Linked DNA regions of Caenorhabditis elegans. The protein of the gene in region 1 purifies or fractionates together with the protein of each later gene. This does not show direct contact. Each region holds a gene or a part of one and is shown on either strand. Other genes may lie near its edges. The genes, in order: gtf-2E2 and rpb-6.

Region 1 (16,061 bases):
TTCAAATATTAGGTTGAACCGGAAGTCTTTGTGAGTGGGTTTGCTTTTCCACCGCTCGCCGCAGTTGCACTTTGGTGTTGAATTGAATTTGAATTGAATTTGAGTTTATTCGACTTAAAAAAGAGAAATAAACAGATAAAACGAGACGAACCCTAAAAGAGTTCAACTCGAGTAAAAGTTAAATTAAAAAAAGAAAAGAAAAAAAAAAAAAAAAAAAAAAAAGATAATACAAAACCGGTGAAAGGTAGAGAAAGAAAAAGTGAAAGTAGATGTGTAATTAGCACCGGGGAATGTTGAGATCAATATAATCAGAGAACTGGTGAGGGGACAAGAAAACCGTAACATTATTGAATAAGTTGTTCCAAATGGGGATAATATGAGCAAAGAAATGGGTGGAGCATTTGTCCTTCCTAACTAGAATCATTGGATGTCTATTTGAACTAGAAAAAGTGACAAATTGATTGAGGTTAGAAAAATGAGAAGTACCTGTTAAAAGTCTATAGAGTAATTTCAATTGAGCTTTAATTCTATCGTGTCTGGTGGAGTGGAGTTCCATAATACTTAGTCGGTTTTCATAACAGGAGAATTTGGTATTGCATCTTTGCAGAACGCGCTTGGTAAAGTGTCTTAGAGGTTGTTCAAGTTTAGCTGAGAGCAATGATTTAGGTGGAGGGGAATAGATTTCGGAGCAGTAATTGAGAATAGGGGCCACGTAAGTCTTAAAGAGATAGGCATAAAACTTAGGTGTATTGGAGGAGAATGCCTTGAGAATTTGTTTTGCTCTGAGCAAGGCTAGGCAGCTAACTTTAGCAATGTGGGGATCAAACTTAAGTTTGCAATCTGTAATGAGACCTAAGTCACGAACAGTGGATGAAGGGGGAATGGGACACCGTCCACAAAATAAGAATGATTTTTGTTCCGAGTGCCAAGTGCTAGTAAAGCCGATTTAGTTGGTGCAAGAGGAAGTTTATTTTTCTTGGACCACATAACTATGAAATCTATGGAATTTTGGATAGTAATAGGGTCAGTGTGATAGATCTTTACGTCATCAGCAAAACAAGAAATGTTTATGGAGGGAGCTAGGTCGATTAATAGATCGTTGATAAACAGAATGAAAAGAAGAGGACCAGAAGCAGAACCCTGTGGGACACCTGAAGAGATGGGATAGGAGTTTTTCGAAACAAAATTGTTGATTTTGACGGAGAATGTTCTGTTTTCAAGGAATTCCTTGAACCAAGAACAAGTAATGGAGTCAAGACCAAATTTAGCAAGTTTTCCTAAGAGAATGCTATGTGAAACTTTATCAAATGCCTTAGCAAAGTCGAAAAAGATTATATCGAGAGATTTTTCCTTCCTTAGAAGAGAATGGTAGAGGGAGACAGAGCGTGCTAGTGAAGAAGGACAACTTCTATAGTGGAGGAACCCATGTTGATGGGGGGACAGAAGATGGCCAAAATCAGCGCGAATTCGAGAGCAGATAATACGCTCCATAACACGAACAAAGGGGTCAGTGAGGCTAATCGGGCGGTAGTTGCTAGGGGAAGAAGGATTACCCTTTTTGTGTATTGGTATGATTATTGCCTTTTTCCAGCAGTCAGGGATTTTAGAATCGGCAAATGATTGTTTGTAAATAATGGATAGAGGCAAAGCAAGAGGAGTTGCACATTTCTTGAGCACTAGATAATTGGCGCAATGTGGGGAAAAACCACATTTAGGGGGAAGCTTCGACAATACGCTTTCAATCATATAAGGCTGAAATGAGTCTACATGAAGAGATGTGGATGTTTGATTCTGAAGAGAGGAATGGGATGTGGGTGAAGGACTATGTAGAGAATTTTGAGACTGGCTGGAATCGTCAGAGTAGTGAGAGGCGAAGATTTTAGCAAAAATTTCGCCTATCTCTGAATCATTGACAATGGATTTATTGTCAAGGACGATGGCTGGAACGCGATTTTGAGATTTGAGGCGACTATTAATAAGACGCCTTATTTTGGTAAAATTAGAGTTGGCAATTATATCGTTTTCAAAACGGCGCACGTATTTTCTATAGTTCCGATAAAGTTTTCGGTATTTAGATCGCGCGGTTTTAATAATTTCAAATGTACATTTACGAGAAAGAATAAGCTTGCTGATTCTATTCCTTAGGCGCTTCAGTTTTCGATGAATGTTGTGATAAGGTGAAGGAGACTTAGAGACACTAATTGGCTTAGTGGGACAGTGTTGAGTAAGGAGGTTGTTAAGAATCGAAAGTAGGCGATCAAATTTATCCGAAACAGATTTTGGAGAGCAGAATTCGAAGTCCCAGTTAACACGCGAAAGATCTCTGTTGAGGAGGGGGAAGTTGCATTTTTTATAGTCAAACAAGGGAGAACTATTGGAGTCTTGGGAAGTAAGACAAGGAGAGTCTATAGGGGAGAGGATAGGAATCTTGAATTCCACTGAAAGGTGATCGGAATTCAGAAGAGCTGGCTGGGGGGAGAGATGGAGGATAGATATATCAGCTGAGCAGGCCACTAAGTCAAGAATGTTGCTGGAGGAGGCAGATATTCTGGTAGGAAAGTGAACTTTTTGAGAAAGGTTGCTGGAGCTGAGAAATGAAGCAAATGGATGTAAGGATGAATTGGCGGAGGACCAATTAATTTGTGGGAAATTGAGATCCCCAGCAAGTATCCTTGTTGCTAGGGTATAACAACGCACTGCAACTTTTTTCTCACGAGGGACGAGGAAAAGTGGTTTCTAGGCCATGGCCGAGGAGCCGACAAGTTTCAGCGGTCATTTATCTTGCTTTGTTTTCCGCCTGTGTTCTTTCGTTTTTCACAGCCTTTTGCCGTTTTTTCTTATTAAAACTGATAAATAAATATTTTTTGCAGATGCTAAAACAATTTCCAAGTAAAAAATTATGTTATCAGTCGGCAAGTAACGGTGAAAGTGGGCAACGTAATATGATGGATTACGGGAATACAAAACCCAATCTTTTTCCCAAACATGATACATATGCTGCTTAAATGCTGAAATTACCTGATTTTCATAACGAGACCGCTGAAAAAATTTTGAGGTTTTCAAAATTCAACTTTTTTGGTGAAAAAGTCGAGATTTTCGCACAAAATGTCGAGTTTTGAAAATCTCAAAACTTTTTCAGCGGTCTCGTTATAAAAATCGGGTAGTTTCAGCATCTAAGCAGAATATATACCATGTTTCAGAAAAAGTTTGGGTTTTTTATTCCCGTAATCCATCAAATTACATTGCCCACTTTCACCGCTACTTGCCGACTGATAACATAATTTTTTTACTTGGAAATTATTTTAGCATCTGCAAAAAATATTTATTTATCAGTTTTAATAAGAAAAAACGGAAAAAGGCTGTGAAAAACGAAGGAAAACAGGCGGAAAACAAAGCAAGATAAATGGCCGCTGAAACTTGTCGGCTCCTCGGCCATGGATTAGAAACCACTTTTCCTCGTCCCTCGTGAGGAAAAAGTTGCAGTGCAACGAGTAAAGAAACTTCATTTTAAAAAACACCCCATTCCCTTCCCTTTGTCCTGTGTTTAGTTAACCAGCAATGTATGCCCCTAGTGTCATAGTTTGATGTACTTCTTCCTCTTTCATACCACGATGAAGGATTTAGAGAGTCTCCTTGAAAATGTTTATCATACACATGCCCATCACTATAATATCATACACAATTGGTTCCACCGCTTCGACAAGGACGACTTTTCTCTCGAGGATCATGAGACCCCATAAATTGGATTTGGATGCGTTTAAGAAAGCCGTGGCAACGGATCCTTTCCAAACCACCCGTGAGCTGTCAACCGCACCTGGGTCTCATTAAACCAACATCGTACAGGGCTTGGCAGCTCTCGGAATAAAGAAAATTAGGGGTGGATTCATACCTCACACCATGACACAAGACAATCTTGATTTTTTAGTGGATGATTCCCTTTCCCTCCTCATTCTCCACGGGGGCGATTGATGGTTGGACCCAGTTTTTACTGGAGACGAGAAGTGGGACCTCTACGATAACAACCACAGGCGTGCCCAGTGGATTGGAGAAGGAGAGACCCCACAGGATGCCGCCAAACCCGACCTTCACCCCAAAAAAGTCATGCTCACAGTGTGGTGAGAAGTGTACGGCCCCATCTACTGGGAACTGCTACCTGATAGCAAAATAATTACTGGGGGCCTCTACGTTATCTAACCACGAAACCTGAAGAAAGTCTTCAATCGTTCACCCCTGATGGACAAGCAACTCTATTTTCAACAAAACAACGTTTGTCCCTACGGCTTGAAACAAGTATTGCAAGAACTGGTCAGGCGTGGATGGATGGTTCTCCGTTACCCACCGTATTCTCCAGACATTGTCCCATCTGAAAACTGGTTGATTTCCGATGTGACTCGTAACCTCTGGGAAAGAACCTTCAATTCCCATGGAAGTGTCGAAATGGCACTCAAGCATTATTTCGACTTGCGCCTGGAAGGGTTCTTTAAGCAGGACGTTCATAAGTTGCGCACACGTTGGCAGTATACCGATGATAATGATAGCAAATAAAATTTATCCTGAAGTTTCTTTTGCTTCGAGAAATAAACGATTGAAAAAGTCACAAAGACTTCCGGTTCAACCCAATAATTTTTCAAATAACTTTCTCATGTTGACTTCTAAAATTGATATTGATCACCGAAATTGTAACAATTTAGCAAGTTAAGTGCGGAATTGAAGTAAAATACTATAAAAAAACGAAAATCATTGAAAAACATTCATTCGAAATGCGCTGTGACGTCATAAATGTTCAAAAAAAAAGTTTCCCGCTTCTCATGTGCAGTGAAGCGATGGGACAGTCTGACACCACATGCGAATCGGTGAGATACGTTTTGGAATCCGACTTGCTGGGGGAGAAATGACTGTATGGGCTCAGTAAGAACACTTCAAGCCCACAGGACGCTCCGTTTCTTGAATCAGATCCGATTCAAACTTTTCTATTAAGTTGAATGGAATCACTTCGCACCACGAGATTGACGAAAACCAGAAAAAATTTCAAGTTTTGGATGTTTCTGGAGAAAAGAAAGTCGAGGATTTCTTTTTGGGAAATCGAATTCATTAAAGGTGGAGGAGCGATAGTGAGGAAAGTATCAAAAACTACTCCTATGGTGCCAAAATGATCGAATATCATAATAAAACTTTTCAAGCATTTTTTGGAAATGTTTTATTTACAGTCAAAAAGTGGCAATTACTCAGTTTTGTCACTCTTGGAAGTCGACCAAAAAAATTGTTTTTTTCCTACATTTTTATACTATAAGTTTTGTTCTAGCTATTTGTACTAAAACATTATAGGGTCAAAACATGCGAAGTTAGAATATCCTCAAAAGCTCATATTTTTCGAAATTTTGGCAATTTGACAAAATTTTGGCCGGAAATTATGAAAAATCGAAAAAATTTTTGAAGTGTTTTATTAAATTATTCGGTCTTTTTAAATCATTATAAGTGTATTTAAATAGACAAGCCGTAATTTTTCCATTAGTATTTATGACTGTAAAATTAATTTATTCTCCAATTATACAGAGTTCGAGACCAATTTCCATACAATTCACAGATAACTAATGTAATCTTATAAATTTCCAAATTCTGAAAATTCTTAAAACATCATTGTTTAAATATCCAATTATTTGTAATTCAGCTAGATTTCAACTCGGAGCGTTTCATTTTTTTTTGTTGATATTTTCGGATTCCCCTGTGAATATGGTTGTTTTGGAAATAAAAGTAAAAATTTGAACACAATTTTTAATTCTATAGCTCATATCTATTTAAAGAAAATTAAATATATTTAGAAAGAGTCGAGAGAGTGGGTACTGTAGTTGAAACATTTCATTCGTGTCGAGACCCACCTGAATTGTTTCAAATAAATGCATAAAAGACTTGCAGGTCATTGCTGAAATTTATTCAAAGTTATGTAAAAGTTTCTGATTTTCTGGAATTTTAATTCAATATTTATAATTTGGCATTTGGCTGAGTATCAACTCTGTGCACTCCTTTGTGATACGGAGCGTAATAAATTTGACAAAACACCACGTTTTCTAACTAAATTTTATGTTTTCAGACTCTCCTCGAAAGGCTGATCTAATTGAGCAACAAGAAAGAATTTCCAACGTGTGCTACATATTTATTGAAACTTCAATATTTTTGGGAATGAAATAAAACTTTTTGCGTTGAAAAGCAATAGACTATGACAAGACTAGACAATAAGTGAAAAAAGGAAAAAAAAGAAAAAATTAGCAGAATCCGTTGAGTCCCGTGATGGCTCTTCCAAGGATCAGAGCATGTACATCGTGTGTTCCTTCATAAGTGTTAACTGTCTCCAAATTCACCATATGTCTCATAATATGGTACTCATCCACAATTCCATTTCCACCAAGCATATCTCTCGCCTTTCGTGCCACCTCGAGAGCCTTTCCACACGAGTTTCTTTTGATAATCGAGATCTGCTCTGATTGAACTTTTCCCTCATCTTTCAGGCGGGACACACGAAGGCATCCTTGAAGACCCAAAGAGATTTCAGTTAACATATCAGCCATCTTCAACTGCATCAGCTGATTCTGTGCAAGTGGGCGTCCGAACTGTTGGCGATCCAAAGTGTACTGGCGTGCGAGATGGAAGCATTCTTCAGCTGCTCCGAGAGCACCCCACGCGATTCCGAGGCGTGCGTTATTCAGGCATCCGAATGGTCCTTGAAGCCCTTCAGCGTTCGGGAGAAGATTCTCCTCTGGTACTGGAACATCATCCATTGCAATCTGTCCAGTGATCGAGGCTCTCAATGAAAGTTTTCCTTCAATTTTTGGAGTCGTCAGTCCCTTCATTCCACGTTCCAGGATGAATCCCTTGATTTTATTGTTGTGGCGAGCACTTCTCGCCCAAACGACCATCACATCAGAGACAGGGCTGTTGGAGATCCAAGTCTTCGATCCATTCAATTTGTAGGTTTTTGTGGTCTCATCCCAGCTGAAAAACACAAGAGTTTTGAAAATGAATCAAATATTTTCTAGACTTACGTGGCCTTTGTCTCCATTCCTCCTGGATTAGATCCATGATTCGGCTCGGTCAATCCGAAGCATCCGATCTTCTTTCCACTCGCCAAATCGGGAATATATTTCTGCTTCTGATCCTCACTTCCGTAGTTGTAGATCGGTCCGATCACCAGACTCGTTTGCACACTCATCGTAGATCTGTATCCCGAATCGACTCGTTCCACCTCACGAGCGATGAGTCCATAGCCAACAGTTGATGTTCCAGCGCAGCCGTATCCTTGATATGGGGCGCCCAACAGGCCCATACTTCCCATTTCCGGAATCAGGGATGGGTCGAATTCTGGAAATCAAGACTATGGTAAAATTAAATAAGAATTCGGTATGGAGTGTCTCACTTTCAGTTCTGTAAGCTTCTGTGACACGTGGCAAAAGTCGCTCCTGACAGTATTCCCGAGCCGAGAGCATCAAAGATCTTTCGTCTTCAGTGAGCTGATCCGAAAGCTGGAAAGCATCTTGGTAGAACGTCGACGAGAGACCTGAAATATTTGGAGGGTGAGCTCAAGTTTGAGAATAATTTTTTGGGTGTAGTCGAATTTAGACGATATGTAAAAACGATACATCACAAAAATTTCGTTAACGTGAGTTATGGCTTCGAAATAGCGAATAATTCTAAATTTTTTGAACTTCGCGCGCGAACGAGCGCCCTCTGCGTGTACTCCTCTCGGACAATCATATAATTAATATGTTGATTATTGTTTTCGGCTAATTTTAGGTGATTGTTGCGGTTTTTATTGTATTTTTACAGCAGTCTTAATTAAATTCGACTACACCAGCCTTAAATATTAACTGAAACATTAATTACCTCTACTTGCAATCTTGCCAATTGACGTGAATCCTCTGGTCAGCATTTTTGCCGCTGCAAACTGGTAAAGAATGATGATGGTGTGCCCTCATCTCCTTTCTTTCAACGCCCGATATCATCTTTTACCCCCACGTGGCCAAGGACAAGACAATCGATACGATGAGGAGACAGATCAACTGAACACACGAAAATCACAAAACTTTCTTTTGCTTTAATTTAAAAGTTTATTTATCGGAAATGTTGATAAGGAAGCACGAATTAAAATTGAAAGAGGGGGCGGTTGAGGGGGGATACAATTACACCGAGTATCTTGTCAATGAAGGTTTTCATGTCATTAGAATGAGACTTGATAAACGATAAAAAATGCATCTGAATAACTATGGGCAATATGTGTGAGATGGGTAATTAACAATGAAACATGGGTGATAAAAAGAACAACATCCTAATAAAAAATCTCTTAAATACCCGCTTGAAAACATCGAACAAGGCGACTGAATACTGCTAAATCGAATCCAATGGCAATCAAGAGTGATTGTTTACCCGTCTTGGTTCGACTGTAGTTGATTGATAAGCAAGAGAGGGAAAATTGAAAAATGCGATTAGAAGTTCCTCAGAATCACTTCCCGTTGAGTTGGATTGAGTTGTGATGGGAATTCCACGTCAAACTCAATGATTAAATCTCCTCTGTGAGATGGAGACTTTGGATTTGGAAGTCCTTTTCCAGTCAGCCTGAAAGAATTAAAATTAATAATTTACTTCTCGTGAATCTCAAAATTTTTAACCTACCGTCTTGTAGTTCCCGGCTTAATGACATCGTTCAATTGAAGACGGTAGTCTGCTCCATCCAACGTTGGAATCATAATATCAAGGCCAGTCAATGCAGACTTCAGGGAGATCTTTTCGACGCGTTTGATGTCAGATCCCTCTCGCTTGAATTTCGGGTGTGGCTTATCCTTGATGACGAAGACTATGTCGGCGGGAGTTCTGTTCGGGTGCTGATCACCTTCTTTTGGGAATGTGATCTTTGTGCCTGACTTCCATCCTGGTTTAATAGTGACCGTCAAAACTTTGTCTTCTAGGCGTTGAGCATTGTCCGTCATAACTTTTCTTGTAATCTTCATCTTCTTCGTTGTACCTTTCAGTACATCCTCCAAACTGACAGAAAGATCATGGAGCACAGCAGGATCTTGACGAGCATGTCCACGTCTTCCACCTTGATGCATGCCGCCGAACATACCGTCATCCATACCACCTTGATTCATGAAGAACATATTCGGGCCTCCGGCTCCACCACCAAGATCAAACATTCCAGGTCCACCAGCACCGAACGGATCGGATCCTCCAAAGAATGATGAGAAAATGTTCATTGGGTCTCCACGGAATTCGTAGTGCATTCCACCGCCGCCACCACCTCCGGCTCCTGGTCCACCTTCCTTTAGTCCTTCCTCTCCGAATTGATCGTAAATCTTCTTTTTCTTATCATCGGAAAGAACATCGTAAGCTTCGGCAATTTCCTGTAATTAAAAAAAATATTATTTCAGGTTAACATCAATAAATTCCCAGAAAAACTGCAATTTTACTGGGATTTTCTATATTTTGATTAAAATCGTTTTTAAATCGAGTGCTTAAAAATAACAACTTGGTCATGAAAAGTACAGTATCCTTCACCGAGGACCAAAAACTTTTTTTTAAATTAGAAAACTAAATTTTAAAAAATACCTTGAATTTGTTCTCAGCTCCAGCTTCCTTATTCTTATCCGGATGGTATTTCAAAGCCATTTTACGATAAGCCTTTTTGATTTCATCGTCTGTTGCACCTTTGCTGATGCCCAGCACTTTGTAGTAGTCTTTTCCCATTGTGGAAAGTAATCTGAAAAGAAATCATATGAATTTTTGAAATATTAACCAGTAACAGGTTAACGGAATAAATGAAGCAACAGATAGATAAAAAGAATACACCCGGCAGAATAAATATGGGTCAACATCAGAAGAGGAAACACGGAGAAATGGAAGAGAGAGTGCGCCGAATCATGAGAGAGAAGAGTGCGGAACTTTCCAGAGCGTTCTATTTACTCGCGAAGCGCAGTGCATGTTCGATCTTCCGTCGGCCGGTGGAGCGCACATGCATCACTCGTTTTTTTTATTGAAAATACATTGGTTTCGCAAGATAAAAATGAGGAATGAATAAAAGCATGAGCACGATACAAAGAAAAGAATGAGCAAGAGATAAGAAATTGTGCTTTTTGGTATTTATTTTCTGAAAAAAGAATATTCTGGAAGGCGAAGTTTCGTCACGAAAAAATATGTTTGTTGGAAAGAATGATTTACGTACACTAGGAAGAAAAGTTATGCTTAAAATTCACTTGCTTATTTAAAAATTGATTATTTAAAACCTGAATTGTTAAAATTTAAATTATTCGAAGAGAAAATAAAGAGAAAAAATTGTTTCCATGAAATTAGTTTTGTTCTCGTGTATAAACAGCAATCAGATATTATTTTTAGAAAAGATTTTTAGAAAAAACTTTAATAAAACTGTATTGAATTAAACAATTTTAAAAATCAAGCCTCTATCCATAATCCAGAAGGCCTCCTGAACTCTGCGCTCGAAAACCCCTAGGCGCGCCGAAAAAAAATAAATAATGCGAAGAGTACTGTATCAAAGGGACATCAACGGCGCACAGTATGGTCCTGCCACGGAGACATATTTCTGTTTTCCTAAACAAGTTTGTGCGAACCTCCATGCTTTTTCACCGGTCCCAAAGTATTTTCCTCTGATTTTAAAGTATTTTTCGTATAAAAATGTTTCGGCGAACCGAGCCACCGTTCCGATTGTTGGCTAGAAAGCGAAGAAATTCCGATTCGACGCCCCCAATCACGAAGTTCTTTGCAACAGTAAAACGGGAACGTTCAAGCTCTGAATCGAAAAACGTATGCCAGAAGTTGGACGGTACGACAATTTTTCTTTTAATTTAAAATTAATTTTCTTGATTTTCAGAAAGTTTCGAAGCTCCCAACAACTTATCTCAAACCTCTCATACCGATTCACCAGACAATGGGCTTTTGTACTCCTTGGAGGATTTGCGAGCACTTTTAGGTGTTCCTGTCAAATTTTCCTCGAAATGTGTGCCATCTCCAGATGCACCAGTGGGCTTGGAAAACCTGCCGAATAGAGCCTATTCGCATATTTTCACAATTCTTGACAGTTAGTTGTGAAGTACTGATCAGAAATTTTAACATTCACATTTTTCAGTGCAATCCATTAATGCGCTTTCACTGACATCCACAAAGTTGTGCTCACGAGTCAAAACCTACGTTTCAACCCACGATTTTTTCCGTCGAATGCAATTGGATAATCTTGACTTTCTCAATAGCTCACTCCGCCCCGACGATGAAGAATTCTTAGAGAATGATCCTTTCACTGCATGTGGTTAGTGTTGCAATATTTTTATTTTCGTTTATAAATCTAAATGTATTTTAACAGGTGGCCTCATCAAATCCATCACGATCACAATGAACACAAAGATCCGCGCTCAAGTCTTCCTGAACATCTGCCGGAATTTGCGTGATCAACTCGGAGGCTCCCTTCATGGTTTTGGAAGACTCCTGGAAACGATAACGCACAATTGGAAGTTCTCTGAACGTCGTATAATGGTAAAAGCTGCAATCATGATCGACGCTGATCTCCGTCCTTCGATTATCAAGGTTCTTACTGCTAAACCGGGCCAGTTGATAGGTCTCGAGATGAAAGTTCGTTCCGGGTTGACCCAACTCTTCCTCAACTTGAGTCAAGACATCGATGAAGCTTCTCCACAGGAGATTATCGAGTTTGGCTCCTGGTTGTCTGTTCTGATCCGAAACGTAATTGAAAAATATCAGGGAAAGTTCTATTACATCCTATTCGGACCAACAAGATCTTCAAGAATTGGCGAACGCGTCGACTGGGCGTATTTCTGTGAGGACGATTCAGATACCTTCACTTTGCGGAAGAGTGAGCCAAACTATAGGAAATTGCTGTCAACGTTGCTCAATGGAATCCGCGCTCTTCGCATCATGAATAATTCCAAGAGTTCGGACCAAATGTGGAGCGGGAAGAAACTTTATCAGCTTTTCCTCCGGATCATTGGTAATATTTTTTTTTTTAATATTTTTAATTTTTAATAGCTTTTTAATTTTCAGAAGTTTGCGAAGTACAAGGCTTTTGGTCTGAGACCTCATCTTCTATGGCGCTGGCCATTGATTCTTCAGGATTGCTCAGCGAATATCTTGTCACCTGTCTCGATCCTCGCCGCGACGACTATGAAACTCTCCAGAATGAAGCCGCGGAGATGGTGTGTCTCGTACGCAACCATCTTTATCGTTGGTCGGCTGCACCTGCCACGTTTCTCGCCGAACCACTGCACCACGCATTCAATCATCTTGCGCAACTCGATGGTCATTACGGTGAGCGGCGTTCTGTCATCTTTTCGGTGCGAGAAATAACGAATATTATTATTATTACAGACGGTTGCTACAAAGCTTTTCTCGAAAAGATTTGGAACGTTCAAAGTTCACGGTTGAAGGAAATGGTAAAGAACGCGACAAACACAACCGAGTGTTCTGAAAAGATCCGCGAAGAGCTCGACGGTCAGCTCTCAATGGCTCGCCTGTTGACGGATATATCAAACACAGTGGTTCTTCACCAAATAGGCTTCCAGCTTCCAAATGACCTAGCTGCTGAACTCGTCAATGATCCACTAGAAGAAGAGGAGCAGCTGGAATAAATCATGTTTTATCTGTCTAGAAAATTTTGAAAATAGCTTCCAACTGTAGAATTAGTTTTGTTTTTGTTTTCTTTTACTTTTACTTTCACTTTAATTTTAATTTTAATTGTTCAAATTTAAAGCTCCTTTCACTCCTTGTTCCATCTTTCTCATTCTGATAAAATCAGCGAAAACTAATTCACTTTATTGTTTACTACAGGGTTCAGCCCCCTGCCACCATTATTTGCCGGCCACTGGCCTTGAAAAACCTCTTCCATCATCGATTTTCACTCTTAAGAGAGTACTCTTCATTGTTTCGAAAGGTTTTCGTTTAAGCAAAAATGGATCCGGAATTGTTAAGGCAGCGAACTGCTTTCCAGAAGCATGCTGCAACAACGATGGCTGTTCAGAATAAGCCTGTGAGAACTTTAAAAATTAAAAAAATATTGAATTTATCGATTTTTTAAGACAACAGCACCAAATTCACACACAACATACTCTTCAGAAGCAGCAAAAGCGAAAAAGAAGAAAAGCTCTGGACCGGCTCAAAATTTGTCGAAACGTTAGTTGTTAAAATGTAATATTAGTTTCTGAAAACGGAATTTTCAGTCCCAGATTTCAATAATTCCGTGAGCAACGCCAATGCGTTATCAAATGCCACAAATTTCAGTACAATGGCGAAAATTGTGGATTATATGAAGGTATTTATATTTTAAAGCGAAATTTTCGAGTTAAAAACAGTTAATTGCAGAAACGCCACCTAAACAATCAACAATGGCCGTTGACACTTCAAGAAATTCTCGATGAACTTCAAATTTTTGATCTTTCAAAAAGAAGTCTTGCTTTCCTTCAAGAAGCATTACCAAACAATCCTCGACTGATAATGGAATCCGAAAAATTCGCATTTCGACCACCTTACAAAATTAAAGGAAAAACTTCGTTGGTAGCTGTCGCGAGGAAACATTATCAGGACGGAAAAGGTGGAATTCTTGTGTCGGATTTGGCTGAGTGTGTGGCTAATTATGATGCACTACTGCAGGTGGGAATTTGAATAATTTATAACAAAAATAAAGTTTTTATTTTTCAAAAATTTCAGCTAAAAATTAGTAAAATTGATTTTAAAATTATCAGCGGCTTATTTTTCGTAGTAATTAAAATTTGAGTTTGTGATGAATTAGATCTTTTAGAATTTCTGAGTATTCAACAATGTGTTTTTTTTTGATTTTCAAATTGAAATAAATTGAAAATTAAATATATAAATTCACAAAAAAGATAAAATGTGTTGAAAATTTATAAAATAAAATTCAGAAATTACTTTATTTTCAGACTTTTGAACAAATTAACGTTATTTTTCAATTTTTACACGAATAATTTTGATCATTTTCGATCCCATAAGTTAAATATTCCACAAAAAAACATTGAAATCGATAAAAAAAAGGTTTGAAAAAATATATTTAATAAAGTAAAAAAAAATTATTACACTTTTCCAGCATAAAACCTTTTTCCTTAAAAAATTTTCAAAGGAAAAACATTTTTGAAGGCAGAATATTCTCATTATAACTTTTCAAAAACTAGGGTATTTAGGGTTAATTTTGATTAAAAATCAGAATTTTTAAATTTGTCAAACTGAAAAAATCAAAGTATAAAAAAGGAGCAATTTTGTGAAATATTAAATTAAATTTTTCCAGCAAGTATCCTCTGAAGTGATCGTTGTTCCGACACAAGTCAATAAGAAAAAGGATCGAGTCGTCTTCTACAATGACAAAGAATTCACATTCCCAGAGCTCGAAGACGATTTCAAAGCCTTGTGGAGACACGTGTCTGTGGATCATTTGGATGAGAAGAAAATCGAAGAATATCTCCAGAAGAAGGGTCTCGACGCGATGAAGGATCTGACGCCGAAGGTTCGAATGCAGGCTCCACTGAAAAGAAAAGCCGCGAAGAGACGGTTCAATCAAAAAGTACAAAACGAGCATATGGACGGAGTTTTGGAGGATTACGAATGATTTTAATTACACACTTCTGTTAACAGTACATAAAATGAACTATGATCATTTGTATCTCTTCTGTCTCTTTTTCTTATCACTGCCCAGCCGTTTGTTTTCTTATTGTTTTCGGCAAATCGGTCACCTAGCCGAGCTTTGTCTCCTACTATTTCTTTTGAAGTTTCAAGTTATTTTTTGAAAAGTTTCTGAATTCAGATGTTTCTGAAAATCTTGCCACGAATCAGAAGACCAACTAGAAGCTACGCAGCAGTTCTTGCCGCCAGACATGAAGGATTTGCAAAAGTGATGCAGTCGGATTTAATGGCATTTGAGAATTTTCTCGGGCAAGATGCAGTGAAGAAGGACGATATTACAAATCATACTACAGATTGGACAGGCCAATTTAAAGGTATTTGTATTTTAAGATTAGGTTTATTTAATATTAAATAGGTACTTTAAATATTAAATGTTTTAATTTCCAGGTCCTGGCAGTGTCGTCCTCTACCCGAAGAGCACCGAAGAGGTTTCTGCAATATTGGCGTATTGCTCCAAGAACAAATTGGCAGTAGTCCCACAAGGAGGGAATACAGGACTCGTTGGTGGATCAATTCCAGTACATGATGAAGTTGTTATATCAATGAATAAAATCAACAAGCAATTCTCTTTCGACGACACAATGGGAATTCTCAAGTGTGATTCTGGTTTTATTCTGGAAGACTTGGACAACAAACTTGCAAAACTCGGATATATGATGCCTTTTGATCTCGGAGCCAAAGGATCCTGTCAGATTGGAGGAAATATTGCCACGTGTGCAGGAGGGATTCGGTTGATTCGATACGGAAGTCTTCACGCACATCTTCTCGGGCTCACGGTGGTTCTTCCCGATGAACATGGAACTGTTCTACATTTGGGATCAAGCATTCGGAAGGACAACACAACTTTGCACACTCCACACCTATTCTTGGGAAGTGAAGGGCAGTTGGGTGTTATCACAAGCGTCACAATGACTGCGGTTCCTAAACCGAAAAGTGTACAAAGTGCGATGCTTGGTAGGTTGAATATTTATATAATGGGTTCAAATTTTTCAATTTCTAATTTTTTTCAGGCATCGAATCCTTCAAAAAATGCTGCGAAGTACTGAAGCTTGCAAAATCCAGCCTCACTGAAATCCTTTCCTCCTTCGAACTTCTCGACGATGCTACGATGGAATGTTTGAAAACGAATCTAGGATTGCACCCAGTACTGAATGCTCCAACCCCATTCTCGATCCTTGTCGAAACATCAGGATCCAATGAAGATCACGATATGGAGAAAATGAGCGCATTTTTGGATGAATGCCTCTCAAAAAATCTGATTATCGACGGAGTGCTCGCTGGATCTTCTGCAGAAGCTACGAAGATGTGGCAATTGAGAGAAAGTGCACCATTGGCGGTTACCAGAGATGGATATGTCTATAAGCATG
Region 2 (14,941 bases), 960 kb from region 1:
TTGAAAAATGTCGCTTTTCGCAAAAAATCGAATAATCAATAATTTCCTGTCATTTCTCGATATTTTACATAAATTAATTTTTTTTTCATCAAAATCAACTTAAAAATCAGGTTTAAAAAACCATATTTAGAATACTCAAAAGTTTTTATTCTTCGATTTTCCGATGTTCAATTTTTCGAATTCCAATAAATTGAACATTTGCTTTTTTTTTTGGGTGAAACCTGGTAGTTTAAAAGGGTTTTTCAATTCAAAAATGTGTTCAACTCACTCAAAACTAGATCGATCAACTATTCTTGGCGGTGGTTTCTGTGGCGGACCACTGCCTCCTTTTCTTCTATGCGTCACCATGGTTTAACCTGAAAAATGTGGATTGAAAAAATGTTTCTAACAAGATTAACAAATAACAAGTGGATGGGATATCAACCAATCTAATCAATTTTTTTGAAAAAAAAGTTCAAAATCTGTAAATTTCATAGAAAAAAAAACAAAAAAACGAGAATTAAAAAAAAAAGAATAAAATGAAAACAAACAATGAAAAAAAACAATAGATAGCTAAAATCCTAATAAATACAAAAATTATTTCAATTTTCACTTTAAATCTCTATCTAGAAAGCATCATTCTTTTTTCTTTCCATCATCATCTGATCTCTTTTCCCTACTTCTCCATCGTCCTTTTCCACCACCACGTCCTCCTTCATCTTTCTTATTCTCTTCACCTCCTCCTCCTTCACGTCCACTTCCCTCACTCTTCACCACTTTCACCGAATATTCACTGCTCAAATCACCAAGTGGTCCATCGGCTCCACGAATATTGGCTGAAGTGATGCGTGCTTTTCTCTTGTCCACTCGTACTCCAAATCGTTCCCTCACGTGCTCCGTCTGCTCCTGATCTGATTTCAATTTTCCATTGTTGATAAAATTCAAAAGATCCTGAATTTCATCTCGGAATCGAGCATTCTGCTTCGCAAAATCCTTTACAATCTTCTCATCAGAATCTCCCTGAGCAATTGTAACTCTCCAATCGGGACGAACAGCCTTCTGAAGTCTCACAAGATTTGCACAGTCGGATAATCTTCCAAGTCCACCAAAATAGTTCAAAAGCTTCTGAATGTTATCGTTCAGTGCCAAATAAAAAGTGAATGGTCCAAAGTGACGAGTTGAGGTTACGACATGGAATTTACCAGATTCATTGATACGATCAAATACGAGTTGACTCAAACGAACATAGGCCGGATCGTCAGGCTCGTAAAACCAGCAAGCCCAGTCTAGAACGAATTCGTGATCATTCTTATCAAGAGCATTTTGTAGATTTGGATCCGAGAAGAGTGGTGGAGGATTCACAGAACGATTCGGTTTTTGATAATAAGTTCTGTTCATTCGATCATGTTCTTCTGGATTCGCAGTTCTCAATGTACCATCGGGTTCTCTCACGACTACAGTACGATCCTGGTCGGTCGCATCGAAAGTGATATCAGTGAATACGAATTTGCTAGTGTCAAAATCCTTCAATTCGAGATCTTTGGCGAGGATCTGAACACTCTCCTCGCGAGGTTCTTTCACTGGAACAAATTGTAGGAATCTGCGAGCTTCTTCACGCATACGCTCTCGAGTCTGGAAAAAAATAAGTCAAATTGAATAAATAGCTTCTCATTTTGGTGAGTAGTTTCTAGTCTAGCAGATCCAAGTTTATCAGAAACTCGACTGTAAATCGACAAATGCGGTAAATTATAAATCATTTTCAAACAAACCTTTTCAAGTCGTTCTTCAGTCATAAGAGCGAAATGAGATCTTTGTTGAATCGAAGTTCTTCGCGGTCTGAACACTTTGTGCTCCAAATCAATTTCTGTTAAATCCGTCAGTAGCTTTTGCACTTCCTTCTCAACGAAGAGTTTCTCAACATTGATGTCGTCTGGTGTTTTAGAGTTACTGAAAATGAATCATATTAAATATATATTTTACAAAATTTAAAATTCAAATACCTTGCTTTGATCCATTGCGATGCAGATCGAACCTCGGCTGAAAGCCGGGTTAATGCCGAAACTCGAGGTTTCAGCTGGAGCATGGAGATCTGGATCTGGAAATTGATGAATAAAAATAGAATAAGATACAGAGAATAAATATGAAATCCCGATCAGAACAGGAACAACGAACAACAAAAACAATGGCCAGTTGTATAATAAAAACATTATTTTTCATTCTCTATTCATAACAAATAAAACTAGAGACCTAAAAATTAAAAAAAAACAGAAACACTCAACAAAAAACGTAAATTATAATGATTTAAATCAGTTGAACGCACAAAGCCTCTCGTAATAATATGGATTGAATGCGCTGAGATGCATAAGTTGTTTCCTTCCTTCCTCGCTACGAGCTGCAAACAATTTGGAAATTGCAATATAATGGGATTGGCGGTCTCTCACCTGCTTTTGATGCTAACCAGTTCTTGTTCACATAGTAATTATAGATTGCATCTGTTTCGGCTTCCGTATAATTTGACGTTTCAATTGGAACGAATGGCTGAAAAATTAGTTTTCAAGATAATATATATGCTTTCAATTTTACCTCAACATATTCAAATCCTTCTTCTCCAAACAATTCCAATGGAGTGTGCCTGGAGACTCCGAGATGATCCCTGGCGTCTGCAACCTCTTTCTTATCTGCAACCATCAGAACACATCCATTAGTCCAATCATTTTCGATCATTCGCCGGTAATGTACAACAAGAGTAAGATCCGAAGGTGGTGCATAGGTTCTATCAGCTCGTTTCACCAAAGTTTTTCCCCACAGAGAATTCGCATCATCAATCGCCACTAGAACCTTCAGTTTGTCATCTTTTGCGTGGCGTCGGAGCTCTCGGAAGATTGCACCAACACAATCACTGGCAAGGAACGGAGCAGAGATTCCCATTTCAATAATTTCAGTGATAGGTTTTCCTTTCAACGTTCGTTCACTTTTCGACCATTCATAATCTCTTTCAGTGAGCAACTCTCCGAGAATCTTCCAGATATGTTGGTTTTGTTGCTTGAAATTTTGGAGAATAGAAACAGAATTCGATGGATCATTGATACGGCCTTGTACAAAAGATGACATCTCAATTTCTTTTACTCTTCTTGTCAGCTCCATTGCACTTCTTAGATGAACAATTGCCCATTTATTATTATAAGCATGATGAACAGCTTGATTGAGAGTAACCGACTTTCCGGTTCCGAAAGCTCCCCATAACACGAGGCGAAGAGCTGGAAGACTTTTATCCACAACTCGCATACAGCTTGCTACTTCTGCCATTGGTTCTCGGATCTGAAAATATATTTATTGAATATAATATTCCATTGATTATCGCCGACTAACCAAGGTAACAACTTCTCCCAACGTATCCATCTGTTTAGAAAGTGGAGCTGGCAGATGATTTCTCATATTAAGCTGTTTGGCAACTGGCATCTCAATTTCGGAAAGAGTTCCAACATCTGCTAACTGGGAATTGGATCGTCTCGAAATATGCAGCTGGCGAGCCGGAAGTCGGCGAGCGATCTGGCACATTAGGTTTCCACACGGCTTCATTCTGTAAAACTTGTCTGAAGTTCCGGGAGAAATCTGGTAAAAGTAGATAAATTTCGACAAAACGTAAATTGAATTAGAAACTGGATCACAAACTAGGTGAAATTTTTAATTAAAACTGGAAAACAAAACAATGAACAAGAACAGGAGGAAATCAACAAAAAATTATTAAACGTGAGCGTATTGTAGATCATCACTGTTTTCATATTCAGCCATATCCAAGGCAACTTCGCAGCTTTCTCGAACAACACGCTCCTCATCATTGACGTATTGCTTCAAAATCTCCGTACATTCTTCGTTGGCAATTGCTCCAAGAGCTTCAGCACATTCGTGACGGACCATGCAATTTTCAGTTGACAGTAGAAGACGATCCTTCAATTCTTGAGTGGCAACAGGCGACTGAAGTTGTCCTAAAACGTATGCGACTTCGTGACGGAACAAAGCACTATCTTCACAGTAGAGACCTTGAGCAAGAGCTTTGATGGATTTATCTGTCTTAATGTTTCTTAGACTGAACATCGCACGATATCTGTCGAAAAGTGGAAGTGAAGCGTCGATCAGAGTGGCTGCGAGCTCTTCGACGTCGGATGTTGAAGCTGATGGTGTTGGATCTACAAATTAAACTTTTATAAGCAAAATATGTTTAATTGAATCGCTTACCAACGCTATCATAAGGGCTGTTGGTATCCTTTCCACTTTTTTCAACCCATTCCACCCTTCCTAATGCAATTTGGCATGTCTCGGAAACTTCTGGACACGGATCTTGTGCATATTTTCGGAGGACATCTTTGACTGAAGGATCAGCAATTGCTCCCAACGCTTCACCGGCTTCATGGCGGACCATTGGCTCTTGCTTCTCGTCCTCAAGAACACTCACAAGTGTTGGAATGGCGTGCTTGTTCTGCATTTGACCCAAGCAGTAAGCCAACTCATGCTTCAGAAGTGCTGATTCGTCATTCAGACATTTTCCAATCCAGTCAACAGAACGATCACATCCAATATTCCGGAGAATAAATAGAGCTCGGAAACGAGCTTTCAGAGGTTTCCTGAAAATTTTCATTTATTAATTGGAAAAAAATCTACAAGATTACTTTGTGTCGTTTAATGCCTCTCCAAAGCTGTCGATTTCGGCATCAGAGAACTTTTGCGAAGCGACCATCTTTCCCGTTGTTCGAGTTGAATCTAAAATTTTATTCATTAATTTTCAAATAACATTGTCAACAAGGAGAGAGAAAGAGAATAATACGAACGGAACAAAATAAAAATGAGAGTGTAAGATCAGAAATGAGGAGAGCAAAAAAGGTGAAACAGTTAAAATGAGGAAAAATTAGAGAAACATTTCTCTACCAATCAGCGAGTTGAAGTTGATCGGTTGGCCAGTCTTCGTATGATCCATCTGGAAGGTAGCGGCGGACAATGATCGGGATACGGCGTTGTTTAAGCTCCTTGCGAGCAATCTCCAATGGATCGGTCTCTCCTTCAAGTTCAACCATAACCGGAGCTCCCATGGCGATTTGGAGAGCGCGAGTGCCAAGAACTCGAGCTCGTTCGTATTTTGTCATGAATGGAGTTGTCACATGCTCACTAGTCGGAACAGCCTTTCCTTGATCGAAAAGCTCGAAATTCTCGTCCACGTTGTCATCGTCCTCGTCCTCATTGTCAGGGCGTTGTGGATCTTCTTCGATCACGTCCTCCATTTCGTTGTCGTCAACGAAATCATCATTATCCATATCTTGATAATCGTCCTCATCGGCCATTCTGAGTCTGCAAAATTGAATTTACTAGTTATTTCTTAACATTTATAAGAAAAAACCGATAATCAAATGAAATACAAGAGTGATACAAATATAAATAGGAAAATCAATACAGAACCAGGCCTAAAGATATTTCTACACGGATGATTCAACATTAGATTATTGTAACAGTGAAAAATTATCAATTTGTTAAATATTAAAACTTTTAAAGATATTTTCAATTTATTCCATTCAGGAAAAGCAAAAAAGCAAAAGAAAGAAAATTGGTTCTACGAAATTGTTCAGGTGGATTTACGTTAAACAAGACGCAAGGCGTAACGGTGGAACGTCGTTGTGAGAGGCAATTTGAATTCTAGTGAAGGTCTCACAGCGAAAGTCACCTACAGTAACCCAGAATTTTAGGATTACCTGTCGCGAAGAAGGAGAATATACATATTCATCCTATCACGACTTTTTATAGTAAGGGGTTCAAAAGCAAATGAACACAGAAATGAAGAAGTAAAATGGTAACGGAAATGGTCGGGTCTTGCTTAGTATCACGAGCTGATAATAAGCCATTTTTGAAGGGGCCGGGAGTGTCGCGAATACGCAGAATACTGATATTCCGCCGATCACGACTTAAGAAATGATATTAATACCCAGGAAATGCGTCAAGGAAATATTAAAGAATTATTATGATTATTACGAAGTCTTTCCGTATTCTAAATGCTCACGACAATCCACGGAAGTCATCAACAACGACAAAGCCGGGAAACTCCTGTTTGAAAGCCGCGCCAAAAGACACACACGTCACGAGTGTTACAGTACTACCACACATGCACATCAAACCCCAACACGTCGACACCGCGCAAGGAAATCGTCACTTCTTCGTTTTACTCTCGGACCGGCAGGTCGCATGTTAAATATATGAGCTTTATCATTTTTATCATTCAACGGATTTATTAGTAATAAATTATGTAATTCTACCACTTTTGAACCTATACCGATACGAAACATTACCGCGATTTTCAATTTCGTATTTTCTTTTCCCCTTTTTCGCGGAATTTGTCGTTTTCGATGCTCGTTTTGTGTGTTATTTTTATATTTTTGTTTCAAATATTAATGTCGCACCTCCTTGATATATCAACGCATTTTTTTCTATACTTCCTACACTACTTTTAATTATCAATTTACAGGACAAAATCGAAAGATGCCAGCCCTTCCATCAGTCTACACGCCTTCTGGAGCTCCATCGAGCGTCCACGCACCACCTGCCGTTCCACCAGTTCCAGTTCCAACTCAACCGCTAAGATCGGAGTATCAGACGTCTAACGACGCTTGCATCAAGAGACTGGAAGAGCTCAATGTACGTTTAATCGGTTTCATAACCTTCTAATTTGTTAAATTTCAGATCGCTCCAGCTGCAAAGCTGTATCCAGCACCGACTGAACCAGGAAAATGTGGCGTTGAGGCCGAAATACAAACCAACGTATTCGGAATCGAGATGCACCAGGACTCGTTGTTCTATCAGTACAGCGTTCACATCACGACGGAACTGAAAAACGGGAATGAAGTTACTTTCACCAAGAAGGGAAAGGATGAGTAAGCTACCGCATTATTTAAACCTTGCTCATAATATGTTTCAGTTTCGTCGTTACTGAGAGACGAAAAGTGCTGTGCGATTCTGTTTCGCGCTCTTGGCGATTATGAGGAGTTCTTCAGAACGTCTGATAGCTGTCTCATTTACGATGGTCAAAGCATTCTGTTCTCCAACGTGGATCTTTTCCAAGGGTTCAGAGAAGGCGCAGTAAAGGTAAATACAATAAATCTTGATCAATGTTATTCATAATATTTCAGACCAAGTACATGCAGCTTGATGGAGGAGAGATTGATCATAAGGATCTCAAATCGTTGCCGTGTATCAAGCTGGAGGTGTTCCCCACTAAAAATCCAGCGGTCAAGTTCACACGAGAAGACGTAGCAAGACGAGCTTCTGACTCAAACCTCGATTCTGTCAGCTTGGCATACCAACAGATCCTCGAACTCGCTCTCACTCAACCATGTATTCGTAACACTGCAAGATACGTTGTTTTCGATCATGGAAAAATGTTTTTCATTGACCCACTCGGTGAAGGATTCGAGAAGTCCGACGTTGTTGACGTTGGGGATGGAAAGCAAGTTGTACCAGGACTCAAGAAGACGATCAACTTCATTGAAGGACCCTATGGCAGGGGGCGGAGCAATCCATCAGTTGTCATTGACGGTCAGTGTTCAAAATAATAATCTCATAGTTATTTCTTTTTTCAGGGATGAAGGTCGCTTTCCATAAGAATCAGCCAATTCTCGATAAACTGAAGGAGATAACTACGCAACCTGTGGAACACGGCCTGAAGGGACCCGAAAAGGACCGCTGCGCAGCTGTCATCAAAGGTCTCGATTGCTATTCTACATATGGTGGTCGTGAACGTCATCACAAGATCGAGGGAATCCATCACGAAGGGGCTGGAAATGCTCGTTTTCAGCTCAATGACGGTGGAAGCTGTACTGTAGCTCAATATTTCGAAGACGTATACAACATCACTCTTCGCTACCCAGGCGCAAACCTCATCGTTTCCAAGGAGAGAGGAAATATCAACTTCTACCCGATGGAATTGTTGAAGATCAGTTCTCATCAACGCGTTCAGATCCCGCAGCAAACCAGTGCTCAGAGTCAAAAGACCACTAAAGAAAGTGCTGTTATGCCTGACGTTCGCCAGCGTCTGATCATGACGGGAAAAAATGCGGCGCAAATTTCATCGGACAACGAGGCTCTCGGTAAAATGGGTGTCTCGGTGTGTGAAGAACCGCTCATGGTCAAAGGACGCTCAATTCCTGCCGTCAAGTTGGCGAACGCTGAAAACGGAACCAATCCAATCAATGTCAAGGACAACAAGTGGCGTCCCAACCGCTTCACTCGACCAGCCACGGCGCCGAATGTGTGGGCGATATATGTCGTCGGTACCACATCAACTCGCATAACCTTGGATACTCTGAAGTAAGTTTGGCAAAATAGTTTCATATCTCAATTCTACGTTACAGGAAATTCGCAGATGAGTTTGCGGCTATGTGCAAGTCAAAAGGAGTCAACATGCCTGCTCCTGCTGACATGTCGCTCATTCATATGGACGCCATCGAGAGTCGTCTGTACGACGCTATGAAAGCAAATTGCATGTTCGTTTTCATCATAACGGACGATTCAATCACTACACTCCATCGTATGTTATATTGTTTACGATATTTATCTATATTTCTATCTTTCAGAGCGTTACAAGGTGATTGAGAAGGATACGAAGATGATCATACAAGATATGAAGCTATCGAAAGCATTGAGTGTTATCAATGCAGGAAAGCGGTTAACTCTCGAAAACGTTATCAACAAGACGAATGTGAAACTGAGAGGATCCAACTATGTTTTCGTGGACGTCAAGAAGTATTAGTTTCTTTTTCCGAAATTCATATTAATTTAATATTCTTTCAGGCAGCTCGACTCGCATCTGATCATTGGAGTTGGAATTTCCGCGCCACCTGCCGGGACCAAGTACGCGATGGAGAACAAAGGAGTTCTAAATCCCAATGTTATTGGCTATGCATACAACGCACAGCACAACCAGGAGTTCAGTGGAGACTTCATGTTAAACTCTGCCAGCCAAGATGTGAGTTTCCAGTCCATTTTAGAATAGTTTCATTCCATTCAATTTCAGACTCTTGCGCCGATTGAGGATATTGTGATGCACTCGCTCAGCGAATACCAAAGGTTCCATAATGGCGGTCTTCCGAGACGCGTCATTATCTACCGAACTGAAACAAGCGAAGGAAATCATGGATCAATCATGGCCTATGAGATTCCTCTTGTTCGTGTTGCCATGAGAGGTTTCTCACCTGAAATTCAACTGGTCTACATCGTGGTGTCAAAGGATCACAGCTTCAGATTCTTCAAGCCGGATGTGGTTTGTTATTATTAACCTTGTATTTCAATAACTTCCTGTATTTTCAGACAAGTCTAGCTGCCCGTCCACAAGCGACTTCCAGCACCGCAAGCAGACATTCTGCAATGCCAGCCGCTCCAAAAGCATGGGATCTGAATATTGCTCCCGGTATTATGGTCGATTCCATCGTGACAAATCCGGCCTGCAAGCAATTTTTCCTGAATTCCCACATCACTCTGCAAGGAACTGCGAAAACTCCATTGTACACAGTTCTCGCCGATGACGCCAAAGTCAGCATGACGGCATTGGAGGATATCACGTACAAGCTGTGCCATCTTCACCAGATTGTTGGACTTCCGACGTCGCTTCCAACTTCATTGTATGTCGCCAACGAGTACGCCAAGAGAGGACGCAATCTGTGGAACGAGGCAGTGTAAGTTTTGCTATCGCATTTTATAGATAAACTATTTTGTTTTCAGGACCATGGATAACATTCCAAGTGTTAGCGGCCCGGAGGCAGACCGTCTCAGAGAGTTGACCAGCATCATCTGCTACAAAGCTTCGGGAGATCTGACGGAACGTCGTGTCAACGCATGATCACCTTCAACAGGCAAATTTTGTTTCATTAACCACCTCATACTTTCCTCGCTGTTCCATGATCCCTTTTCTCAATTGTTTTTGACTAATGATTCCTTCCCACTTGTGTAATTTTACAATGTTACAATTGCAATAAGCTTACCCATACTCACATAGTTTCCCAGTGTATTAATATTGCCCATTCTTGTTATTTCATACTTATCCTGTTATGCACATCCCCCTTCTCCTTGTTAAATATTTGTGTAGCACCCTTTGTGTAGCAATTTGTCATCGCAATTTCTTTTCTCTTTGAAATTACGATGACAAGTTTGCTCTGTGGCCTTTTTTCTTTTTTTCGTTTGTTTTCTTTTACTAATTTCTCGAACATCAACAGATGTTTCGAGAATTTAGTTTTGAATACTAATATAGGCAGTTCAAACTTAATAAAAGTTAATAGCTTTCGAAGTTGTTGTTTTGTTTTCTAGTTTCAGGATCGGTAATCAGTGTCATGGTGTCGATCAAATTCATTGCGATCTCTGCAAATGAAAATTCGAAATTGGTCTGCTAGACAGGAAGTTTTATTATTAATTCAAAAGAAGACTTAAAATGTGGATACTAAATATTTGCAATTCGTTTGAAAATGAAAAATTGAAATTGCAGGGCAACTTTTAAGATGTTTTCACATGACCATTAATGTTACCATTGCGTCCGACCAGACACATTAAAGAAATTTGACTGAAATTTCAGTTTTATCTGCCAATGGAAATTTATTATAAATAAGAAAAAAACCAATTTAAATCAAAACTATTCATTCGATGAAATCTAAATCGGTTACTTTCCACTGCTTCTATTCCTTGACAAATGGCTTAATGGCATCTTTGTCAGCACGAGCCGCATCAATGTTTGGATCGATTGCAATCGCCGGAGCTGCCTTGGCCTTGGTGCCTTCCGGAAGTGGCGGTGGGATCATTTGTTGGAACGAGATCTGAAATTAAAAATTTTATTACTTTGCGAGAGTCTTCTGGATAAGATTACCTGCAAGTTAGCGTTCAAGCAAACCACTGCAGCAGCGTTGGTGAACTGAGCACAGTAGTTTGGCACTGAGAAGACAGTTATCAGACGGCGTCCAGTCATCATTTCATATCCATCCTGGACGACTTGATGAGCGCGAATGATCAGATCAATCTCCAGGGACTTGCATGCCTGCTCGACGACTCCTTTACCAAACATGTAGCTGATTCCTGAAAAAAATCGCATTTTTGAGACTTATGACCTTAAAAGGTCTCGAAACGACTTAACAGCAAGGTGTAGAGACTACTACTGTAACAATTAAAGACGCATGCCTTTTTTGCACACTTTTCAAGACGTTTCAAGACCGTAATATTGGGTCTCGCCGCGAGAAAAAGCTTGTGATAGCGGTTTTTGAACAAAGTAAAAATGTTTCTCTCGGTGAGACCCATTCAGCTGTGGAATTTTCATACCTCGGATAGAATGGAACCATCCTTCTCCCTTGTTCGTCGGATCCGACCACAACAAATCAATGAGCAATCCACGATCCAGCGGCTCACACGGACGTGGAATGTTCCTGATCGTATCGAGATTGATGAGCTCCGGTGAGAGCCCACCGTGCATACAGAGCACTCTCTTCGAGATCAACCCAGACATTGGCATGCGGTTGAAGCATGACTGGAAGTCCCACCACAAACCGATTCCATACTTGTATTGACACTCCACATAGAATCCATAGATCTTGTTGACCGACGGTGTCTCATGGTTTCCACGAAGCAAGTAGATGCGATCTCTGTAGCGGATCTTCAAGCAGAAGAGAAGGATCAGAACTTCGATTCCTTGCGGTCCACGGTCGACGTAGTCTCCAAGGAACATGAGCTTCTCCTCTGGAACTCGACCGATCAAATCGAACAAACGATTCATGTCCTGGTACTGAGCGTGGATGTCCCCGATGACTTTGATGGGAGCCTCGGCTTCACAAAGATTGCTCTCCTCCATGAAGATTGCCTCGACCATCCGGATAATCGAAATGATCTCGTGTCCAGTCATCACATTGCAAATGTTGATGTTCGTGTCCTTGTAGAGACCTGGAAAAGTTGGAGGTTTATGGTATTTAGTGAAAGCGGGACCTACTATTCATTCTCTTGATGCAATCATCCATCCATTCAGCCAATTTCGGATTCTCCTTCGCCAGATCGAACTTTGATATCTCAGATGATTTTGGACCTGGAAAAAGAGTGTCATTAGAAAGTACGAAAATCTGTGATTTTTGAGCAAAAGGAGACCCGGTGGATCGGTGAATGCCAATCGGGCAGATCAGTGCATAGTTCCTGGGCGTAGACAATCCACCAGATTGTAATCCCCCGATTTGCCGAGTCGGATCCACGGTAGCTGACAGGTTTTGGTCGTTTCAAGACCCACTGGTATTAGATGCTGCACAGCAAGTCGCGGTGAGACCCAACACCAGCGCGAGCATCCCAAACGAGAACAAGCTTACCTTCTTTCGATCCTTTCTTGTTGTTATTCCCGTCGGTGCTCATCATGAAGACGTTGCTAAATCCTCTTTCGCAACCAAGCACACTGCGTTAAAATTGAGAACTGATTTGTTTCAAAACTGAACTAAACTTTTTTGTATGTTTTTTTTGTATTCAAAAGTTTACGTTTTTTTTTAAGTTTTACCAAATTTGTTCAAATTGGAAGTTTGAAGGTTGTCACGATAAAAAATTGACCATTTCTTTACGGTTCGTTTTTTAACACTTTTATCGCAGTCACGACATTTTCAGAAATTGAAAAAAAATAAAATAATTCCAGATGTTTATTAGTTATCAGCTAGGATCTCGAAAAGTGATTGAAAATTTACAGAAAATGAAAAAAATAAAAGCTGTACGCGTATACATACAAACGGGGATACAAATGTTTTAGCAAGAGACGCAAAAAATGAAAAAAACAGAAGCTCTAAATATTTGAAGAGGATATTCGAAGAAAAAATGATCCAATCAATTATCGATCGAGTGACGTCTGGCTTGAAGTGGGCTGCAAATTGTAGATTATTACTTAAAAATCAATTTTAAACACATTTTTTGGACACTTCAATATAAAATACTATCATTTCACTGATTAATGGAGTACGGTACCAAATACACGCCAGACAAACGCGCATTGTGTACAGTAGGCCAGGGTAATTGAAATGAAATGACAATAACTATAACAACCACAGGGAAAACTAAATAATCGGGGAGTAATATTAATAAAAATTGAGAGAGAAAAGAAAGGAAAGAGTACGGTAGAAGTTGACAATGTATTATTACAGAAATAAAAATTTGAAAAAAAATTGACTTCTTTATTTTCAAACTGGAACTACGAACCTGAAGAATATGGAGAAGAAGAAGAAGAGGAAGAAGAAGGGAAATATTTATATTTCTACCATTCGAATGCTCCTTATAACTCGCTACAATTCAACAGACAATCATTATTTTTAGTTTTTGAAGATTGATTTATTGGGATGAGTCCCTTATTATGTTTTTAGTTTTTTACCTAATTCTAGATCGAAAAGATGTTTAAAAAATACATGGGAAATTGAAAAAGGAATGAGATTGTCTCCAATGCCTAACGAGACCCATAGTTTAAGGGCGGAGTTTTGCCATAGAGCGCAAATTTCGAAAAGCTCATTTTTACGTTGATTCAATTTTTAAAAAATAAGTATTCCATTATTATTTTTTGGCTAATAAAAATAATAAAACGCAGGCATTAAAAAGTCGAGTATGAAAACTTTCTTGGCGATACCCAATTTCGAATTGGACTCATGGGTTTAGAATCAAAACTTAAAAAAGGTTTTCTTAAAAACTCACTTGAGCTCTGAAAATCTGCGCAAATATTTGGTTTCCTCGAATGATCTCTCTTCCAATCGGTGTTGTTCCTCAGTATCTTGGCGACGGAGACGATTTCTGAAAATTCAGATTTTAAAATGACTTTTAAATTAAAGAAAATATTTCTGAATTCAGAAATCAGCTTAAGTTATACCTGTAGTTTGGTCTGAATTCGAACAGCATCCAAAGAGCACTCACAATAATTGCAACAATGACTACTCCGAAGCTGGAATTTCAATTATTTTTTAAGTTTTTTCATACTAGAAACCTACGTAAAAATAAGCAAGTAAAGCCTAAAAATGTAGGACTCGCAGCAGCTGAGCTCAGTGCATTCTGTCGGCCATCCACATAGTGTCATTCTACTTTCAACCGTCTGCAAAAATTAAGGATTTTCATTAGAAAAAATTAAAAGCTCAAGAGAAGAAAATAAGGTTTAAGATATTGGTATTCTAGCAATCTAGAAAGCTTTATAGAAAAGTACAGCAATTATGATAGGTATGTCATAGTGACTTGCACAACGGAAAAGACATAAGATTGAGCTGGGGGAGCACGGGAGAAAGAAAAAGAGCATGTTCTTACTCAAATTACCCATTTCCTCTTCTAGCCAAACAACAACACACATGGAAATTTGAGAAAAAAAAAGAAGGGCACTTGGGAAGAGGTTAAGAAAATTAGGAATATAAATTTTGAAACAGCTTCTTTGACTATTTGATGTTGCAAGAAATTTCAAAGATTTTGGAACTGGAATATGGAAAGTTAAAACAAAGGGCTTCTGGCACCAATAAATGAAAAACAATGAAAATTATTAGCATTTATTTTTAAAATGTTTATTCTACGTTTGGTATGCATCAGGGGTGTGCGGCAAATTTGCCGAGGTTGGCTAATTTGCCGAATTCGCCGAGCTTGGCAATTTTTTTTTAAATTAAAAAAACATACGCTTAATTTAGCTGAACACGGCGTTATTATGACCTGAGAAATGACCATAGTTACTTGTATTTAAACACTCTCAGAAGTTCTCTAGTATCTTAAAGCTGTTGAAAATGCCGGTTAGAGCTATAAAAAAACTTTTAAAAAATTGATAAATAATCCAATTTCCTATCAATAAATAAGATTTCTAAAAAGTTCGCAAAATCATGAGCTAGTGAGAATCTCAACACCTCATTTTTATTGTTTTCTAAAATGCCAAAAACAAAGCAAAAAAGATTCCAAGAGAGTAAGTGAATTGGTTGGATGCCTT

The links.
Region 2: the proteins of gtf-2E2 (region 1) and rpb-6 fractionate together in Caenorhabditis elegans (co-fractionation; one large-scale study listed by BioGRID). This does not show direct contact.

What each region holds. Positions count from the first base shown.
Region 1 is NC_003280.10:11,539,385-11,555,445, reverse strand, and holds gtf-2E2 (Transcription initiation factor IIE subunit beta), read left to right. Parts: upstream 1-12,950; 5' UTR 12,951-12,955; coding exon 12,956-13,033; intron 13,034-13,082; coding exon 13,083-13,176; intron 13,177-13,223; coding exon 13,224-13,315; intron 13,316-13,365; coding exon 13,366-13,653; intron 13,654-14,302; coding exon 14,303-14,620; 3' UTR 14,621-14,673; downstream 14,674-16,061. Other genes in the region: F54D5.7 (putative glutaryl-CoA dehydrogenase, mitochondrial), read right to left, coding at 6,261-6,987, 7,038-7,353, 7,409-7,549, 7,876-7,921; dnj-13 (DnaJ homolog subfamily B member 13), read right to left, coding at 8,475-8,604, 8,662-9,389, 9,595-9,732; F54D5.9 (F-box domain-containing protein), read left to right, coding at 10,675-10,822, 10,871-11,077, 11,126-11,302, 11,357-11,998, 12,052-12,315, 12,376-12,635; dhgd-1 (D-2-hydroxyglutarate dehydrogenase, mitochondrial), read left to right, coding at 14,816-15,008, 15,082-15,648, 15,705-16,061.
Region 2 is NC_003280.10:10,569,751-10,584,691, reverse strand, and holds rpb-6 (putative DNA-directed RNA polymerases I, II, and III subunit RPABC2), read right to left. Parts: upstream 5,313-14,941; coding exon 4,899-5,312; downstream 1-4,898. Other genes in the region: Alpha-1,2-mannosyltransferase algn-9, read right to left, coding at 269-348; mrps-22 (Mitochondrial Ribosomal Protein, Small), read right to left, coding at 616-1,611, 1,749-1,926, 1,980-2,062; dap-3 (Small ribosomal subunit protein mS29), read right to left, coding at 2,286-2,371, 2,421-2,517, 2,563-3,297, 3,349-3,558; dohh-1 (Deoxyhypusine hydroxylase), read right to left, coding at 3,724-4,166, 4,216-4,601, 4,647-4,714; Putative serine/threonine-protein phosphatase C06A1.3, read right to left, coding at 10,677-10,814, 10,865-11,070, 11,311-11,925, 11,972-12,064, 12,336-12,378; txt-13 (transcellular chaperone signaling (x)cross tissue), read right to left, coding at 12,835-12,871, 13,687-13,782, 13,859-13,930, 13,977-14,062. UniProt on the Caenorhabditis elegans protein: DNA-dependent RNA polymerases catalyze the transcription of DNA into RNA using the four ribonucleoside triphosphates as substrates.